3 linked regions of the Xenopus tropicalis genome follow. The protein of the gene in region 1 binds, or shares a complex with, the protein of each later gene. Links are inferred from orthologs where the notes say so. Each region holds a gene or a part of one and is shown in the gene's direction. Other genes may lie near its edges. The genes, in order: hypk, naa50 and naa10.

The links.
Region 2: hypk (region 1) and naa50 share a complex: the UniProt entries of both Homo sapiens proteins name them as parts of the N-terminal acetyltransferase E (NatE)/HYPK complex. The link is inferred for Xenopus tropicalis from reciprocal best matches to the Homo sapiens genes HYPK and NAA50.
Region 3: the proteins of hypk (region 1) and naa10 are in contact, whole or in part, in a crystal structure (PDB 6C95), measured with the Homo sapiens proteins. The link is inferred for Xenopus tropicalis from reciprocal best matches to the Homo sapiens genes HYPK and NAA10. Residues at the interface, in NP_057484.4 of Homo sapiens: Lys27, His28, Ser30, Gly31, Asp34, Leu35, Arg37, Val38; in NP_003482.1 of Homo sapiens: Glu24, Tyr26, Lys29, Tyr30, Tyr33, Lys59, Glu134, Lys136, Tyr137.

Annotation. Positions count from the first base shown.
Region 1 is NC_030679.2:107,674,850-107,679,099, forward strand, and holds hypk (huntingtin-interacting protein K), read left to right. Parts: upstream 1-1,397; 5' UTR 1,398-1,404; coding exon 1,405-1,566; intron 1,567-2,254; coding exon 2,255-2,310; intron 2,311-2,943; coding exon 2,944-2,995; intron 2,996-3,393; coding exon 3,394-3,489; 3' UTR 3,490-3,728; downstream 3,729-4,250. UniProt on the Homo sapiens protein: Component of several N-terminal acetyltransferase complexes. Inhibits the N-terminal acetylation activity of the N-terminal acetyltransferase NAA10-NAA15 complex (also called the NatA complex).
Region 2 is NC_030678.2:3,208,309-3,211,723, reverse strand, and holds the end of naa50 (N-alpha-acetyltransferase 50), read left to right. Parts: intron 1-114; coding exon 115-234; intron 235-526; coding exon 527-593; intron 594-2,210; coding exon 2,211-2,391; 3' UTR 2,392-2,787; downstream 2,788-3,415. UniProt on the Homo sapiens protein: N-alpha-acetyltransferase that acetylates the N-terminus of proteins that retain their initiating methionine. Has a broad substrate specificity: able to acetylate the initiator methionine of most peptides, except for those with a proline in second position.
Region 3 is NC_030684.2:34,756,847-34,759,787, reverse strand, and holds part of naa10 (N-alpha-acetyltransferase 10), read left to right. Parts: intron 1-1,038; coding exon 1,039-1,084; intron 1,085-1,182; coding exon 1,183-1,298; intron 1,299-1,414; coding exon 1,415-1,459; intron 1,460-1,849; coding exon 1,850-1,934; intron 1,935-2,941. UniProt on the Homo sapiens protein: Catalytic subunit of N-terminal acetyltransferase complexes which display alpha (N-terminal) acetyltransferase activity. Acetylates amino termini that are devoid of initiator methionine.

The DNA of each region.
Region 1 (4,250 bases):
TTGCTATGATTCAACATAAGTCCTGCGTGGGATCTTGTTGACATGACTATTTGATCTATGAATTGGACTACATCCAGGCATATTTATCTGGACAATACATAGGTTCCTACTTGGAATAATTGTTTTATTAACAGTATCCCATTATACAATGAAACACACACAAAAACTATGGTTGTGTGCAGTTGCCCAATATTTTGGCAAAACATGGAAAACGGAATTACATATTCCCTCTTAGCTGTGCTTTTGTGAGTGGACACAACAAAGTAAGGAGTGCACAGAAGTTTCCATGGAGCCTCATCACTGAGAAGTTACTCAGTTTTTTTTTTAAACATGTTTAAAAGAGATTGTTTTAATACGAAGCGGGCACGTTTATGAACAATAGGCAATTCTACAAGATACTTAAGTTTGTCTCATATTCAGTCATTTTATTTGACCTGGTGCTGTATAATCCAACAAACAGCTTTCCTCTGCAGAGACGTCAACTTTCGAGTCTTTACTTTTGGGTGTGTTTGGGCAACACCTTGTTTAGCCCCCAGCTCTGCCCTTCCCTGTCTCTGAGCTCATTTTAGGAGGATTTAGGTTCTTTTCAGTTGAATAATCGGATTGGAAACAAACATTTTGTGACTTTTTTGTATTTTTTGCGATTTTTTTCATCCCTTTTGTGACTTTTTCGTGAATTGTCGCAATTTTTTCGTAGCTGTTACGACTTGCGCGAATTGTCGCAACTTTTTCGTATTGAGCGCTAGTAAGCGGCGGGCAAACCTTTCCGATTTTTTCGCGACGGCTACGAAAAAGTCACAATTCGCGCAAGTCATAGCAGCTACGAAAAAGTCGCGACAGCGAAGAAAAAATCGCAAAATACCAATCATTACGAAAAAAACGCATTCGGGCACTTTCGATCCGTTCGTGGATTAGTAAATCGGCCCCTATTACTATGGGGAGTGGGACCAGATATCTTCTGATAAACATAGGAGTTTTGATAGGTCGGCATTAGTCAGTTGCATGAAATCAATTAAACTGTCAGCTTTGACTGCCGCAAATGTGCCCAATTGCCAACAAGCATTCTCTTGGACAAATGATTCTGTTAATCCTCATGCCAGAGTAAAACTACTAAACTACAAATATTATTTGTCTTTTAAAATCTTTAGACAAATATCTAAATATTTAAAACACCATTGATGCCCCGTTGTTTCTACGGTAGCAATCAATCTAACGTTTCAGCACAGGAGAAGGCAAAGTTTATGCAAGAACTTTCTTTTCCGGTTTAATGGAACGCATAGTTGTCCCGCCCCCTGCCCAAAGAACGATAGAGATCGCGGAAGTGACGAATGCAATAGGCCAAGAAACCGGAAGCGGCGATTGAAGCGAGTTTTACTGCCTTGTGTTCCGGTACAGGTGGGAAAGATGGCGGCAGAAGGGGATGTTGAGTTAGAATTGGAGACTGAAGAGAACTGCAGCGAGCGTCCTGCCGACAAACCGCGCAAACATGACAGTGGGGCCGCTGATCTGGAGAGAGTGACAGACTATGCCGAGGAGAAAGAGATTCAGAGCTCCAACTTGGAGACGGTGAGAGAGAAATAATAGCCTGGGTTATTGGAAAGGGCATGGACTGATGATCGTTTGCTCTGGATGGCTGCAATAAAGCAATACTTATGTTTACTGTCACTGTTAGGTTATTGTAGAAAGACAGTGGAAGATACTTGCTTGGCAGATCAGGCAGATACAGCTTTTAGCTGGTGTGCGGGGCAATCATTACATGAGTAGAGGCATTATTAAAGGGGAAATACTGTGCCAGGAGGAATAATGATTTCCTTGCAATTTACTCATCCACATATAGAAGGAACATGCTCTTACTAGATAACCTTTGCATTGGTTTCCCATATACTCCTAACACCAGCCTGGCATTTGACTCTCACTGGTTACCTGCCCTGGCTGCACTGTATCATGCCAGCCAGCTGCCATCTTGTAAGTGGGCATTACAGCAGAGCTGCAATTAGCTTCCTAAATTCTACTTTACTTCTGGGGAAGGAAGGTTAGAACAAACCCGTCCATTTGGAACAAGAGGTTACTGGTGTGCTAGACTTAAGGCCGAACTTAAATAAAGTTACCAGGGGCAACAAAGTGAGTGAGAATTCAACACTGCTTTCCCTTTAACTGTATTGAAACATTGTTCATACATTTTGAATGACTGCTTATGAAGAAAGAACTCTGTGTTCCAAGACTGGTATTCTAATCTCACCTGTCTTTTGTGCAGGCCATGTCAGTGATTGGAGACAGAAGATCAAGAGAACAGAAAGCAAAACAGGAGAGGTAATTGCAATACCATATACAACATTTTATACTGGCCCTTTCCATTGCATTGTAATCAGGTCTCATTTAAAATGTAGAATGGAGTTTTATAAAGTAGAGTATTACTGGGCAGTGTCATTACTAATGGGTTCAACAGATATGGACTGTTTAGCATCTGGTTGCTGTCAGTAAGCTGCGGGATCATGTAGTAGTGTCAAAGGCTCAGTGTGACTGAAACACATTGGAGAGGCTTTAAATTGTGCCACATACTTGGTACCCATGCCATAATAGATCTTGTTAGGAGTAATATAATGAAAGCTAATGACTCCTGTGGCTTTGTAGTAAGCAACCTCTGCTGTACTGTAGATTCTGGCAAGGATAGTTGTCCACTGGTGGCCTTTTAGCCTGTGTCACTAGTACACTGATTATCCAAAAATTATGCAGCAGTCTGTTGAATAGAGTGTCGCTACTACTTTTGAGGTTTATTGGGAGTGTTATGGTTTTTACCAAATATGAAGACTTCTCAATGTTCTTTTAGTGATGGTTCAAACACAATTTTTTTGATCTATCTGCTCAGAAGCTGCCTACTCGGTTCCGTTGAAATCGCAATAATTTTTATAAATACAATAGCTAATCAAGCTTCTATTTTTTCAGAGAAAAGGAGCTGGCCAAAGTAACAATCAAGAAAGAAGACGTGGAGCTTATTGTAAGTATGGATAGTGATCTGGGCAGGAGCCAGTGACTGTGGTATAGTCAGAAGTATCAGGATTGAAATTGTAACGTGCAAGAATATTACCTAGCAAAACTGGCCAGTGGATCATGTGTAGTTTGGCCATATCCTCAGGCCAACTTTTCTCTCTCGCCAGGCTGTAATTGGAATCGAGATTAGATCAATTGTGTATTTACTATTAGCTGGCATTAAGGTGGGGGTGGAAGAACCAGTAGAAGAGAGTGCTGGATAAACTGGAGAGTATTGGTGGCTGCTGTATGCAGATATGGTAACACTAGTCTTGCATTGGAGGCCTCTACTGAAAAATGATTTGTTCTTAAACAGAGCATTATAGTTATGACTTAGTTATAAAATGAGAATATTTTCATTTTCAGATGAATGAAATGGAAATCCCTCGAACAGCAGCAGAAAGAAGCTTGCGGGAACACATGGGGAATGTAGTAGAGGCGCTGATTGCTTTGACCAACTGATCTTCTGGATGCTGCACGGATTTTTATCTTGTTGAAGAAAATTTACTTAGAACTGAAAAGATTTTATACTTTCATTAAGAGTTGTGGACTTTATTAGGACATTAAACAGTGCTGTTTTCCTTCTTAGCATGATTATTTGGACATATTAAAAATAATGCATTATTCAGGGCTCCATTTCCAAATACTGAAGCCAACAGTAAGTGTACTAATTTATTTAGAATAAACACCATCTTTCTAAATACGATTCTGAGTGCTGCTTTAACTGGCCATGCCGTGTACACATCTCTGAAATAGTATGTATGTGATCGAATTCATTGCCATAATTATCATTAATTGTGGTGTTTTTTAACAGTAACTGTAGTGTTTTACTTATTTTTATCCCAGACATAAACATAGAAGACCTAAGTGTATTGTCCCCAAGAGTATCAGACCACATGGAGGCACACAGATTTCTCCCATAATAAGCACTTGAGTAAATTAGTGGCACACTGTATTTTGAAAGCATGCACTTTACACATAGAGATGGTGCCCATGGAAGCAATTGACAGCCCATTATTTATACTATATGGGTCCAGGTGACCTATACTTTTGCTGTCATGTACAGTAGAACCAAGGTCACTTACCCTTTTATTGAGAGATCTAGTGAGACAAGCAGGAAAGCATTAAAGGAGAACTACAGCCTAACTAAAGTAGTAGGACAGAAATGTGTTGTACATTATGTTTTTGGCTTCTGTACCAGCCCAAGGCAACCACAGCCACAG
Region 2 (3,415 bases), on another chromosome or scaffold:
GCATGTTTGTTTTTAGGTCCCTCAGGCCCAGTAACATTCCAGGGCTATTCGCATTTTTATTTATTATTTGGTGTTTTTGCTCAGTTGCTGACTCAATATCTCTCTCCCCCACAGCTTATTTCAACGACATTGCTGTGGGTGCAGTGTGCTGTAGAGTGGATCACTCCCAGAATCAGAAACGACTATATATCATGACCCTGGGGTGCCTGGCCCCATACCGCAGGCTTGGAATAGGTAAGCAGCCTTTTTATTAGTAAAAATTGCCAACTTTCTACACAATGCCAATCTGATGGGGGGGGGGCAGCTCGTTTGTATCATTCCATGACCCCGGTAATTACCAAGCCATGCCCAGGGCTCAGTCTGTTTCAGGGGTCAGTCTCCCCCAACGAGTCAGGTCTGTCAGGCTGCTGCCTTGTGTTACATTGTTTTACTGATTTGGGAACACATTGAGGCAATGGATGTCATGTACAGCGCATCAAACAGTACAATGTTCAACTTTATAATTCATGTATTTCTGTGTTTGCAGGAACAAAAATGCTGAACCATGTTTTAAATATTTGTGAAAAAGACGGCACCTTCGACAACATTTATCTGTAAGTAATCGTGCATTTTAATGGAATATCTCTGTGTATTGTTAGGGCCCCTGGTGGCCCTGCTCACAATACACGTTTTACGAATCTATTGTGCAAAGCGGATTAGTAAGAAGTGAGAACTTTGCCACCCAGTCTGAAATCTAAACACATCCATGAAAAGTAGGGTGAGCAGATCACTTGAAAATGCAGGGACACATCTAAAAAATCCAGCTAGCAGTTTATTTTAAATGCAGCGCTGCCCTGCAACATCTGGTGGCCCTAATCAGCAGCCAATCACTTTGAGACCCTAGAGCAGGGATCCTCAATCTACGGCACATGGGACCACCCAAGGTAATTTACCCGGCCCCCACTACGTTCTCACCCCTTGCAGCGGGAGCTGGAAGAGAGGGAGGACAGAGTGGGGGGAGCTGAAAGAGAGGGGACTCGGTGGGGAGTGGGAGGGGGGCGCTTGGAGAGGGAGGACAGATGGAGCTGGAAGAGAGAGGACTCAGCGGGGAACGGGAGGATGGATGGAGCTGGAAGAGAGTATTAAGCGGGGAGCTGTGAGAGGGAGGACAGACGAAGCGGGGAGCGGGAGGGAGAACGGATGGAGCTGGAAGAGAGCAGACTCAGCGGGGAGCAGGAGGGGGGCGCTGAGAGAGGGAGGACGGATGGAGCTGGAACAGAACACTCAGCTGGGAGAGGGAGGACGGATGGTGTTGGAAGAGAGAGGACTCAGTGGGGAGCTGGAAGAGAGAGGACTCGGCGGGGGGGGGAGCTAGGAGAGGGAGGATGGAAGGAGTGCGGGGGGAGCTGGAAGAGAGGACTCAGCGGGGGGGATAGTTGGGAGAGAGAGGACTCAGTGGGAGGGGGGAGCTGGAAGAGAGAGGACTCAGCGGGGGGGTAGCTGGGAGAGAGAGGACTCAGCGGGGGGGGGGGTAGCTGGGAGAGAGAGGACTCGGGGGGGGGGCTGGGAGAGAGAGGACTCAGCGGGAGGGGGGAGCTGGGAGAGAGAGAGGACTCAGCGGGAGGGGGGAGCTGGGAGAGAGAGGACTCAGTGGGGGGGAGCTGGGAGAGAGAGGACTCAGTGGGGGGGGGCTGGGAGAGAGAGAGGACTCAGCGGGAGGGGGGAGCTGAGAGAGAGAGGACTCAGTGGGGGGGGAGCTGGGAGAGAGAGAGGACTCAGCGGGAGGGGGGAGCTAGGAGAGGGAAGATGGATGGAGCAGGGGGGAGCTGGAAGAGAGAACTCAGCGGGAGAGGGGAGCTGTTATTGGGAGGACGGATGGAGTGGGGGGAGCTGAAAGAGAGGGAGGATGCAGGTGTAGGCTGTAGTTTGACCCCACAGCAGGGAGCTGGAGCAGGGTTGGGGGGGATCTATATTCCGGCCCTACCAACAGACTGAGGGACCATGAACTGGCCCCTTGCTTAAGAAGTTTGAGGACCCCTGCTCTAGAGGCTTTGAGTTACATGGAATGTCAGGCGTTTTGGTGATGGTTCCTCCACATGGATCTTATTGGAAACTGACCGTATTTTACAACTTAGTTGAGAGATATAGTTGAACCTGTAAGAAGGTAAAGTAGTGCAACTCAGAATGTGAGAGCGCACAACTAACCCGAGCATTTGTTTCCTCTTCGGCAGCCACGTTCAGATCAGCAATGAATCCGCCATAGATTTTTACAGGAAGTTTGGCTTTGAGATTATCGAAACCAAGAAGAACTATTACAAGAGGATAGAGCCGGCCGACGCTCACGTCCTGCAGAAAAACCTAAAGATTTCATCTCCGGGGCAGAATGCAGACGTGCTAAAGAGCGAAAACTGAACGGAAAAAGCAACAAACACTTCTCTTGCACTTGCTCGTCGCCAAATACGGAAAGAGACCCATTGAGTTTTATTCTAAACGTTCACCTCTAACATCCCCCCTTCTTTCTCCACTTTAAAAATGATAAAAAAAAAAAAACAGAAAAAATTGCTTCTTCCAAGAGTTACACAATCTGTCTCTCTCACACAAACAGGTATTTCAGTCGGTCGAACTCGGAATATTTCCCCGGGGCAGAGTTCAGTTCGGCGGGGGAATGTGGATTTCTTTGGCTTTACAAGTTTTTTTGTTTTTGGTTTATTTTTTCCCCCCCCTTTTGTTTGGGAGAGTGAGTGGCTTCTGTCGGTCTGGAATAGTCTTTAAATAAAATCTCATTTCTTTTTAGCATTCTCTTTCAAACCTCGCTGCCTTTGTTCTTATTTATCCTCGGATGTTCTGTGCACTTGGCTTTACCTATAGAATGTCCTATTCTTACTAACTTTTCAATTGGTCTTCATATTTTATTATATAAAGTTTTTGAATTATTTGCCTTCTTATTCAAAATCTTTGCAGCTTTCAAATGGGGGTCACTGACCCCGGCAGCCAAACCCTATTGCTCTGTGAGGCTCCAGTTTTATTGTTATTGTTACTTTTTATTCCTTATCTTTCTATTTAGGCCCTCCTCTATTCATATTCATGTCTCTCTTTCAAACCACTGCCTGGTTGCTACAGTATATTGGACCATAGCAACCAGATAGCTGTCTAAATTCCAAACTGGAGAGAGGCTGATTAAAAATCTAAATAATTCATAGTCTCATATTAGCACTCTCCATTATACTAAAAGTTAATCTAAAGGCAAACAACCTCTTTAATTTAATTGTGAGTAGATAATCAGGATGTTTTGCCTCTTTATATTAAGCTGCACTTGCTATTACCTAATCATATAAATTCCAGTACAACCATCCCATAGAGGGAAAGAATTCATGTAATGGGGGGGATAGTGGGGCAATTCCACATTTACACAGGGCAGTGTAGGGAATGATTTCAG
Region 3 (2,941 bases), on another chromosome or scaffold:
TTTTTATTTTTGTGGGTTTTTTTTCTAAATTATTTAACTTTGCTTAGTAGCTGGCAGTTTGCAATTTAAGTTACTATCTGGTTGCCAGGGTCCAAGTTACCTTAGCAGCCAGGCAGTAATATGAATGACAGGCTTGAAGATGAATAGGAAATAACCGAAAAAGTAACAAAAACATTACAATTGTAGCCTTGCAGAAAAATAACTTTTGGTTGGCTGGGATAGTGATCCCCAGCAAACGTACAGGGTTTTAAATTACCAGCTCCAAAGAATCAGAAGAAGCAAATCATAAAAAAAAATGTTATAGATACACAGCAATAATCTGTACTTCTGCTAATGCTTTAATGTCATTAAGTGCCAGGTTGCTGCTCCAGGAGCATCACATAGTCAATGGAAATAGTACTGCACTTGTAGGACTTTCTTATAAAAATAGAGAACTTTTATTGCACCATGTCGTTTTGGCTCGCTCTTGTTTTCTATTTCTTTAAGAAAGTCCTAAAGTGTGCTACTATTATATATGTATATATATCAATTAAAATTTGCTAAGATAGCCATCTGTAACATACTAAAATGTTACTTGAACCAATAAAACCGTGCAGAGCCTTCCCTCCTGAACCGCACCAGCTTGCCCCCAGTTATGCCCAGTTCACCTTACACTGAGAAGAGTCAGAGAAGCGCAGTGTGGTTCAAAGACACCATCTTGCACAAGCAAAGTGATTGCAGAAACACGCGACTTTGAAGCTATGTACAGTCTGGAATCAGCTGCACATGCTCCATGATTCTGATCACTTAAAGCAACAAAAGGTGAATGGGGCATTTTTGAGGGGCAAGCTGGTGGAACAAAGGAACAAAAACTTTCATATAAGGTTATCATTCTCCTTTAAAGGTAAACTACCCCTTTCATAAAATAAAACACATTCTTGTGCAAGGGTACTTCACATGGGGAGGAAAGGGGGCTTTAACTCGTTAATGGTTTCTAGAAGCTCTCCATCTGCAATTTTAAGAGATAGAACTGGCTTAATTTTTTGCATCTCTTTGCAGGGAAGAAGATCCGGATGATGTTCCACATGGACACATAACCTCTCTGGTAGGAAATGATTACTATTAATAAAAATTGTTTTGTGTTACTGATGCAGGGTAATGGTAAGAAATTTTTGTGACAAGGATATATTTTCACTTGTACAGGCTGTAAAACGCTCTCACAGGCGGCTTGGCCTTGCCCAGAAGCTAATGGACCAGGCCTCACGTGCAATGATTGAAAACTTTAATGCCAAATATGTATCTTTGCATGTTAGAAAAAGGTTTGTGTTATTTTGTCATTTTGGTGTTTTGTTTTTTTTTTTTCTTTTTTGTTATTACATATGTGCTGTACTACTTTTAATATGTTCTAATATACTTTTCTTTATTCTAATCAAAGCAACCGAGCGGCACTGCATCTTTATTCAAACACTTTAAATTTTCAGTAAGTATAAATATTCCTCAGTTTATGTAAGAGAATATGGGGGTTCATTTGTTTGATTTTTACTTTGTAGTGATATGTTATAAAGCATAAAGCCCCTTCTCACTTTAGTGGTATAACTGTGGGGCTGGGGTGAAAGGTGTTGCGGGGGGCTCATGAGCCTTGACCATCCCACAGTTGCAGGGTCTGTATTTTACTAGGGTCTGTTTATTTCCCAATGGGCAGTGCATTTGGAAAATCATCCTGTGTGGCATTTAAATAAAAATGAAAGGTAAAATGAGAATAAGAGCAGGTTACTAAAAGGGACAAATCCAGGTAATATATGCTTATGCTATTAAATAACACCTTGTGTTAGAATGATCTACTTTTGTTTTCCGAATCTCTTTCATGCAGAATCAGCGAGGTTGAGCCTAAATACTATGCTGATGGGGAAGATGCATATGCCATGAAACGAGACCTTACTCAAATGGCTGATGAGGTATTTATACTCTTCTACTAAACTGATATATGAACTGTTATAGGTGATTTATATCTGTAGATTAGTACCCCTTTCACAAATTAAAGGGATAGTCAGACTTTTATTTAGTCACACTTATTTTATTTCTTGGCATTTATTTAGCACTATTAAATTGATTCTTTGGCACACCACTTGCATACTTCCATAGGGTTCCTCAGCTGCTCCCAAGCCAATTCCATAGACCTTCACATGAGGAAGAAGCACAACAAAGGCAGATGCCTTTAACACATTTATTGCAGAAAGATGTGGCACAGATATACATTATTCCAGTTTAACATATATATATCATAGTCACACACAATAGGAGCCAGTTTTTATCAGGAGCCAAATAATATGCCTGTATGTTTTTTGAGTGTAAGAGAAAACCCACACTTATATGGGGAGAACATGCAAACTTCTTGCAGGCTGGATTTGAACTCTGGACACCAGTGCTCCTGTGCTGACCTCTAAGTTAGCTAGCAGTAATGATACAAGTTTAAGGCAGAAGAATTCCAGCAGTAATTCAAAAATAAAATGTCTTTCCCTGGCAGGTGGATTACACATTTTCTGGGCTAGGTTTTTACCACACATGATAAAGGGCATAAACCAAGGAACATATCAGTGTAAAAATAAATGGTCTGTGCAAAATAAAAAAATGTTTTTATAGTTATCCAAAAATATAATTTATAAGGGCTGGAGAGAAGAATGTTTAATCTAATAACCAGAGCACAACTTCCTCCTTTACATCTCTCTAACCTGTATCTCTCTTACTTAGTGGTCAGCGATTTGAAGTGGGGGAGCCACATGGAAGATATTACTTTTGAATCTGAATTGTGTGCTCAGGATCAAAAGCAGACTAACTGAACAGTTATGTACCATACTGCCCAATAGTCCTCCTATTGTTTAGTAAAAACACCAAACTTTTGGCTCACCTAATCAAATATTTACTCAGTCACACTTACTTCACATTTTCTATCTGTTATCTTGAA